2 linked regions of the Schizosaccharomyces pombe genome follow. Changing the gene in region 2 together with the main gene of any one other region gives a genetic interaction. Each region holds a gene or a part of one and is shown on either strand. Other genes may lie near its edges. The genes, in order: aut12 and met16.

The links.
Region 1: mutations in met16 (region 2) and aut12 together harm fitness more than expected from each alone (negative genetic interaction), as found in Schizosaccharomyces pombe (one large-scale study listed by BioGRID).

Annotation. Positions count from the first base shown.
Region 1 is NC_003424.3:641,345-645,866, forward strand, and holds aut12 (autophagy associated protein Aut12), read right to left. Parts: upstream 2,195-4,522; 5' UTR 2,169-2,194; coding exon 874-2,168; intron 788-873; coding exon 541-787; 3' UTR 501-540; downstream 1-500. Other genes in the region: grh1 (GRASP family protein), read right to left, coding at 1-57, 104-283; chaperonin-containing T-complex beta subunit Cct2, read left to right, coding at 3,367-3,369, 3,406-3,537, 3,585-4,522.
Region 2 is NC_003424.3:2,305,580-2,309,559, reverse strand, and holds met16 (phosphoadenosine phosphosulfate reductase), read right to left. Parts: upstream 2,037-3,980; 5' UTR 1,832-2,036; coding exon 1,031-1,831; 3' UTR 682-1,030; downstream 1-681. Other genes in the region: arb2 (argonaute binding protein 2), read right to left, coding at 1-301, 348-534; acyl-coA-sterol acyltransferase Are1, read right to left, coding at 2,602-3,980. UniProt on the Schizosaccharomyces pombe protein: The NADP dependent reduction of PAPS into sulfite involves thioredoxin which probably plays the role of a thiol carrier. Required for methionine synthesis.

The sequences.
Region 1 (4,522 bases), 1.7 Mb from region 2:
AGTTACTTCGGGGGAAGAATCACGAAGCAAAGCCATAAACATTGAAGGGTCTCCATTCTGTGAAAAACACTTTAGTAATGATAAAACTATAATCAGTTCATACCAGTAAGATCCCATTCACTGCCGTTATAAAATCGTAATAAGACTCAATTCTGGCATTATAGGCTTTCGAATCGTTTTCAACCTTTAATACTCTGAAACCACATGATTCATCTGATTCTCGATGAATACCAGCTAAAGCTTCTGATTTTTCTTTAATAAAGTTCTTTAAACCACCAAACATTTCGATTGTTTAGTACTTAAATAGGGTTGGTGGTGATTTAGGTAATGGCGCGGTTGACTCGCTATGATATTAAGTTCATACAGTCGGAAATTTATGTGAGTAAAATGATGCTGATATTAATAAATTAAAACAAAAAAAGGAAAAAGAAAAATTAATAAAGCTGTTGGAAGCAATCACCGCTCTTTTAAATATTTTACTGTCAAAACATCATAAAAAATAAAAAGAAATGAATTTCATTAAACTTTACATGCTCATTATCAAAACGAAAGGTTTGTTTGTATAAATAATCGATTCTCCTCCCTTCGTATCCATCTCAAAATCTTATTAACATTTGCAATAAGCAGTTGACTGCTAGTGGTAGCGTTAGCAATACAATGAAAGTCGAACGATGCAGTTGACCACGTGAATAGAAGCAAAGATTCATGGACAGTCATATTAATTGAGAAAGAATTTTTTTTGTGAAATGCCTGGTCGTGTAAGCTAGCATAAATAGCATAAAGAGTTCTAAAAACATAGTTAGCAAAGCAAATGAGCCCAAAGATAGCGATCGTATTGAAATTGTAAAGAAAAATAGATCATTGTATACGTACCTAGTATTGAAATTGGGAGTTGAAAATGAATAGCCAGGAGTATAAAACTGTGAGTATTTCTTTGAATAAAACAAGTAATGTGAAATACAAGGAGATCCGGGATTCCTTGGCGTAGTTCTATCCATTTCTTCACAATAAATGAGCTTTTTCAACCATCCATGATCCTGAATTTCCTGAGCAACTTTGCATTTCACTGATTGCATTTCAAAAAAGACACCACTTTCGCTGCTCCCCATTATCAAGACAGTGTCCTTACATAGGAAATAGCTATAAATGTAAATATAAGCATCTGGATTTAGAGTAGGAAAACAAACAGGCACCCAATGCTCCATTGAATCATTAAAAGACTGTGTGCGGAAGAGTGATAGGAAAAGTAAATAGAGATCATTAGCATGTAATAAAAGCTTCTTCGCCTTAACCATACAAACAAGCCGACCTCGTATAGCTATAAAAGTAAACAGCAGAGATTTGGGTGTTTCTCTCAACAGCAGTTGCGACAGCTGATCACGAAAAGAGGAACGTAAAGGAAGAGGAGATATGGCATTCAATGTGGGGACTAATTCATAATCATTAAGTTGATCACATAGTTCTTTTAGGAACTGCTCGTTGCTTCCAATAAGTCTTCTCAAATCAAAATTTGGGCGGGAGTTTAAGGTCAGCTGCATAGCTTTCGCAGTAACCCCAGTAAGTATTTGGCAATATAAGAGGTTTAACTCACTGAGTAAATATGCTGCGCTTAAAGTTGTCGATGGCGATACGCCAACAAGATAAAGAGGATTTTTGGAGAGAACAACGATAACATTGGAAAAGGTAGAAAAGCTTGTTAGCTCTTCTTTCGACACTTCGAAAGAGCTAATAATTGCTTGTAACGCGCCAACGGTTGATGGCTCAATTGAATCATCAACAATGTTACTAAACACGGGCTTCCCTGATGAAGAGAATATCAAATATGTGCGCTTTTGTTTTGCCAAATCAAAAGATATCAACGAAAGTAGTTTTATAATTTCATCAACAGCCGTATTGTTACTACTGCTCGATACTGAAGTGCTTACATTAAGCGGAGAGGAATTATCATGCAATATATCAGAAAGTAATTGTTCAACGTTTTCCACGTGGCTTCGCAATTCTGGTGTAGACCTGCTTACTTCTTGATCATCCTCTGACACCGAAGGCGCTGCCATTAGAACATTACCAGGGTTTAACAGCAGTGATCCACATTCCGACTCATGAGATCTATGAACGTTATCATTTTCCACTTCCTCCTTGATTGATGAATGCTCAGATGTTGGTTCCATCAACTGGCTGTTTTCATTAGTGGGATGGATTGAATAAGGAGGACTGTAGCTGTTGTAATAATGCTAACCTCGCTTCATTCACTCATTTACGGTTAAAATTAAGGGAAAAGAAGGCGTTTTAAATATTTTGCTTTTTATTGAATAAAAAATAATTATTGATTCTTTAAATAAATGTTGAAACTCAACTTTGCGGTGCAATCATAAAGATATTGTGCCGAAGATGATTTCGTACCTAGTTGTATAGGTAATTCAAAAGGGAAGATTGGAATGGCTGAGTCTTCGGCAAAGAATTTCATATTACAACTAAATGGCATTCAAGATACGTTTACATGGAAGTCAATTGTATACAGAGAACAGTACTGAATTTAAAATAAAACTAATAATTACACGTTCTATGAAATGTACGCGCTCTAAACTAAGAATACTCTTTGGTTAAGAAATTAATGTTAAAAAGCGCTTAGAATATAGCGCTAGATGTATTACTACAAACTGTTTATATTGAGTTATTTAGGAGTGATCACTGATCTATCGTTTCAACTAAAATGCTGCTTATCCTTGACTTCTCAAGGTCTAAGGATGGTATTCACATTTAAAGATCTAGAAACTTGTTGGCTAACTTTTCGAGATGGTTCCATCTAATATTGAATAGAATTGAGATTTGCGCATTGGTTCTTTCAATATCTATATTGCTCCAAAACAAAAACATTAGTCTAGTACTTGTAAGAAAACACAAGTCATACAGGGAATCGAAAATAAAAAATCAGTTGAAATCTTTAATCGACGCTTCATATTTCATTTTGAGCAATAATAAAACACTCGATTAAGCCAACCATCATCTAGTTTGTTGAACATGCTCAGTAGTCGGTATTAACTTCATAGAGACTTGAATAGATATAGGAAATCTTTTAATTTTTTGATATTTTATATTTGAGAGTAATAGAATAGTGTTTTATATAGCAATGCTTAAAAGCTGTCTCATTATTTTCTTTTGCATGAATATGAACGTAAGAGAATGAAATATATATATTATAAAAATATTTGATTATAATATTATTTACGATCCAAAACTAGAAATATACAGTCGCTGGTACATGCCTGGTAAGCTACGGCTTACGTTGTTGCGACGAGCTTCTTGTTCGCTGTAAGCTACTTTCCACTCAACCACCGCAACTCTGGGTTTATCGTACACTATCTGGAAATGGTAATATCATGTGTAAAAACCGTACTAACGATATAGTCTTTAAATCCTCATCAGATTTTTAACGAAAGTGGCATCCAAGAGCGGGGTGAAAATGCCCGTCTTTCATCGTTTGTGGGTGCAATTGCTGTGGGCGATTTGGTAAAAAGCACTTTAGGTCCTAAGGGAATGGTAAGGTCAAATCTACATAGAAAAAATTTTTAATTAACGATTTATAGGACAAAATTTTACAATCAAACTCTTCGGGTGATATTGTTGTGACAAATGACGGTGCTACCATTCTTAAGTCTATAGCTTTGGATAATGCAGCTGCTAAAGTTTTAGTGAATATCTCAAAAGTCCAAGATGATGAAGTTGGCGACGGTACTACCAGTGTGTGTGTCTTCGCTGCTGAACTTCTTCGTCAAGCAGAAATTATGGTCAATGCAAAAATACATCCTCAAGTGATTATCGATGGTTATCGTATTGCTACTAAAACTGCTATCGATGCTCTTCGTGCTTCCTCTATTGATAATTCTAGTGATCCTGCTAAATTTCGTAGTGACCTCGAGAATATTGCCAGAACTACTCTGTCTTCCAAAATCTTATCTCAGAATAAAAACCATTTTGCTCAGCTGGCTGTTGATGCAGTGCTTCGCTTGAAAGGTAGCACGAACTTGGATAACATTCAAATTATTAAGATCCTTGGTGGTAAACTTGATGACTCCTTCCTTGATGAGGGATTTATTCTCAATAAAACTATTGGTGTTAACTGTCCCAAAGTTATGGAAAATGCTAACATTTTAATTGCTAATACGGCTATGGATACGGATAAAGTGAAAGTTTTTGGTGCTAGGGTTCGTGTAGACACAACTGGCAAGCTTGCCGAACTTGAACGCGCTGAGCGCGAGAAAATGAAGGCTAAAGTTGAAAAAATCAAAAGTCATAATATTAATTGCTTCATTAACCGTCAACTCATTTACAATTGGCCAGAGCAGCTGTTCGCTGACGCTGGTATTATGTCCATTGAACATGCAGACTTCGATGGAATTGAGCGGCTGTCTTTGGTCACTGGTGGTGAAATTGCTTCAACTTTTGACCATCCTGAACTTGTCAAATTAGGTCACTGTAAGAAAATTGAGGAGATCATTATCGGTGAAGATAAAATGATCAAGTT
Region 2 (3,980 bases):
TTAATGCTTTGGTCCCATAATAGCGCAGAGGGAGAAAATATTACAACTGAAAGTTTCTTTTCTGTGCATTTGGCTATTACATCTAGTACAGTTGCACGTCTCACATCGCCTTCGCGCAAGTTTCTATTTGACCAGATTAAGGGGTGCGACATTGACTGTATAATTATAACTATTCCATTTTCATTAGTTTGCCAATTTCGTGTTGCATATATCCAACTATGTGGTTCTGACGGTGAAGATTCCAATGGTATAGATATTCGTGTTAGAAGGGAATTTTGTAAAGTCCAACTGTAAACGTGATCTAATTTCAATTGCAAGTTAACTCCTGAATTAAATGATTACCCTACCAAGTACAGCAAAATAGAATTTTTCGTTGTACTCTTTATCTTTGGTAACTTGAAATTCATATAGCTCATTTGGCGCGTTCAACTTCCTCAAGTAAAAATCGTTGGTAATTTGGAGATTCATGTCTTCAAGACAATTCCCAAAGTTGACGTCCCTTTGGAGTACACGGGATTTCTTTTTCCTAAACATATGTAAGGCCTACTTACCAATAATAAATTACGATAAGTCGGTTAGTAGTAGGTGACATTACAAAATAATTGAATGGTGACTCAATTTTTGTTGTTAAAAAATATATATATGAATTTGTAGATCAATACTACATAGTTTATTCTATATATTTAATAAAAAAAAGGAGGAAAGCATTGTAAGTTCATATGGTTTTAGGTCTTCAAATTTCAACGTATAAACCACTTCAATTTTTTGATAATTAAATCATCTTATTTCTAATATATCTATTTGTATAGGTGTAAACACCGAGAAGTTTCTTCATAGTGTATCCCTAACCTTCTTCGTCACGATAATAATTTAACCCATTTACTAAGAATGTATGCTGAAAACCTTCTCACAATGACCAACTAAAACAAAGAGAAACTCTTGAATTGTCTACTTAAAAATGCCGTATTTTTTCATATGGTGCACTTCGATAACAAAAAAGCAGTTTACAACATTGCACAAAAGGATTGTTTCACTGATCAGCCGTCTCCTTCTTTTTAAGCTCCGCCATATATTGTGCGAATTTACTTTGAGGATGACTGTGTAATCCACATTCTGTTTTCTCTCGACCGCGCCAACGTCCGGCACGTTCATCTTCACCTTCTCTAACTGGTTGAGTAGAGTGCCAGTCACCAACTGATCTGTAACCCTTGTTCAGAAGTTCATTATATGGAACGTTGTTTGTAATAATATAATTATGAACTTCAGTAAAAGACCAGTTAGCCAAGGGGTTGATCTTTAATACTGGTCCATCCAGCTGAACAATGGGCAAAGATCCGCGCTCTCCACCTTGACTACGGCGGCGGCCAGTAAACACAGCAAGTACATTTAAGTCAGAATAAGCACGACTTGCTGGTTCCACTTTGACTAAAAAGTCATACCGAGATTCATCTGTCTCCCAAAGCTTCTCACCAAACTTCTGAGCAAATTCCTTTTCGTTGGCTGCTTCAGCACAACGATAGACGTGAACAGGCACGTTAGGATACTTAGTTTTGACTTTTTCAAGAAGATCCAGTGTTTCTGGGAAATGATGAAGTGTGTTGATAAAAATCAGAGGAACATTCATATCCATTTTCGATAACATGTCCATAATAACAAGCCCGGACAGTCCTAACGCAGATGTTTGAAACAAAGAAGGAAGTGTCCAACGGCACCATTTTAAGATATCTTGAGGACTAAGCTCCGATAACTGCTTGTTGATGTATTCGAGATGTTCTGGGTGAAACAAGGTTTTCGCTTGCAATTTATTAGCAGGCGTATCGATTGAGCTCATATTGAGTACAATAAATTAGAAAAACCAAAATTTGGGACGAAATCAATTATGTCGGCGAGGAACCAATGGTTTAAACCGAAGATAAAAAGTCGAAAACTTTTCAAAAAAACCAAAAAAAAAATTTGAGTCGTGTACGCAGAAAAATTTTACTTACACTTACTTTTATAGTTTTATAGAAGCTATTGGTGTGCTCTGTAAGACTTTTAGAGAATAGTCAGACAGGTTTGGAAAATAATTATTACGGAAGATCTGCATCGATGCTTACAAAGGAAGAGGTAACAAGACGATACCTATTTTAGTTGGTAATAGTAAATTGTAGAAAAAAAGAATAAGATCATTAGCATTTAAGTATAGTTAGTGAATTGTATACTAGAATAAATGAATATTATTAAATGTATCAAATACGAGATGAAAGAGAGAGATTTTGCGCATTTTAATGTTACTACACCGTTTTTTTATTTTTGGTTTTAAATTTATAACTCTAATGAACTAAAAATTTCTCTTTAATTATTTCAATAACGTTAGTCAAAGGTTGATGCACAAATCTTTTATAACGTTTTGTATATTATAGTTAATATTAAAGGTGTGTAATAAGGAGACGAAAAAAATTTTTTATGGTATAAACCTTCGTAAATCCAATATGCAAAAAAAGGGCACTTTGTTTTAAGCAATTAATTTACAACTCCAAGAACCAGAATAAATATCCGACAAAAAGGGAATGATAAGAAAAAGTCTTAGCCTAATAAACCCACCAAACTCATAAACAAATACTAAAAGACAATGTATAAGATACATAAAAATGAAGGACCAGTGAACATTCCAATCCAGAAAAACACATTACCAAGGATATCGCGTTTTTTGAAAGCAAACATTTGTTGGAGGTCATAAAGAGGAATTTGTAATAATTGAAATGTTAATATGTAACACCGGAATTTACCAGTTGCGAGCAGCATCACAAATTCGTGTACAAGAGCGGAAATTAAAAAAGTGAGTAGAACAGCGTGAGATTTTTTTAATTTGAAACCGGAAATTGATGAATGGTAAACATGTCTCATGAGAAAAACGTGGACAGGCTTATTCCATTCGCGCGAAAATTCATCCCATGTAACTGTATTCCACCAAGCACCATAAAATCCACGGTCGGCAAATTTAGTGATTTCAGCAAATGCATTAAGAATGCAATCAAAAATCAGGTAAAACATGATAAGGTAAAGTATGATAGCGGGAAACATAATTTTGTTCATTAACAAGGGAGCAATGCGTAGCTTCCCTATGAAGTCAAGATCTTTGACAGCCACAGCACTTGGAACGAAATACCAATCTACAAGAGCCAAGGTGAGAGCTAGTAAACCGAATGTGGAGCCTGCTTTAAATGCCATATAATGCCAACGGAAATGGGCAACTCTAGGAAACTCCATACTATAGACAAGGGATGGAACTAATAAATAATCAACGTAATTAAAGAAATTGATGTTATCAGGATAAACAACATTGCCCACTTCGCTACGCATCTGGCGTGACAAATATTTTGCTGTTAAAGCGACAATTTCTTCTGCCTGCAATGTAGATATCGTTTCAGCAGGCTTATTGGGAAAAGTCAGTTCAAACGTGTATTTCTCATCTTTCTCGGTGGAATTCAGGCATTCACGAACAAACTTTAAAAGTTTTTCGTATTCATTATGCAATATACGAATCTCACTGATATAGCCCATATGGTGAGAATAAGAAAATTGTTTCATAATTAGAACGGCACAATGCAGCGTGAAGAAAACACATTGAACAATTGGAAAATCTCGATGCTTAACCCAATAGACAGCTAACACCATATAAAAGCCCTGCCACAAAGTTTGGATTGTGTAACCCAAATTAGCCCATCTAATCATGTTCTTCTCAATACACACTTGTAAACCATAACTAAAAAAGCTGAGGCAAATCATAAGGAAATCTGAGCTAAACAACACGAAAAACTGGCGAAAGACCTGTCTAGCTAGTGGTAAACCAAGCAAAGTATCGCGTTGCCAATAACTTCTTGCATATAACTGTAGTACCCATGCAGCCATTGAAAGCCAAAAAAGCACATAAAACCCTCTAAACTCACTTTTTGCGAAATAATTAGGATCGGTTACACGATCAAAAATCGATTTACGAG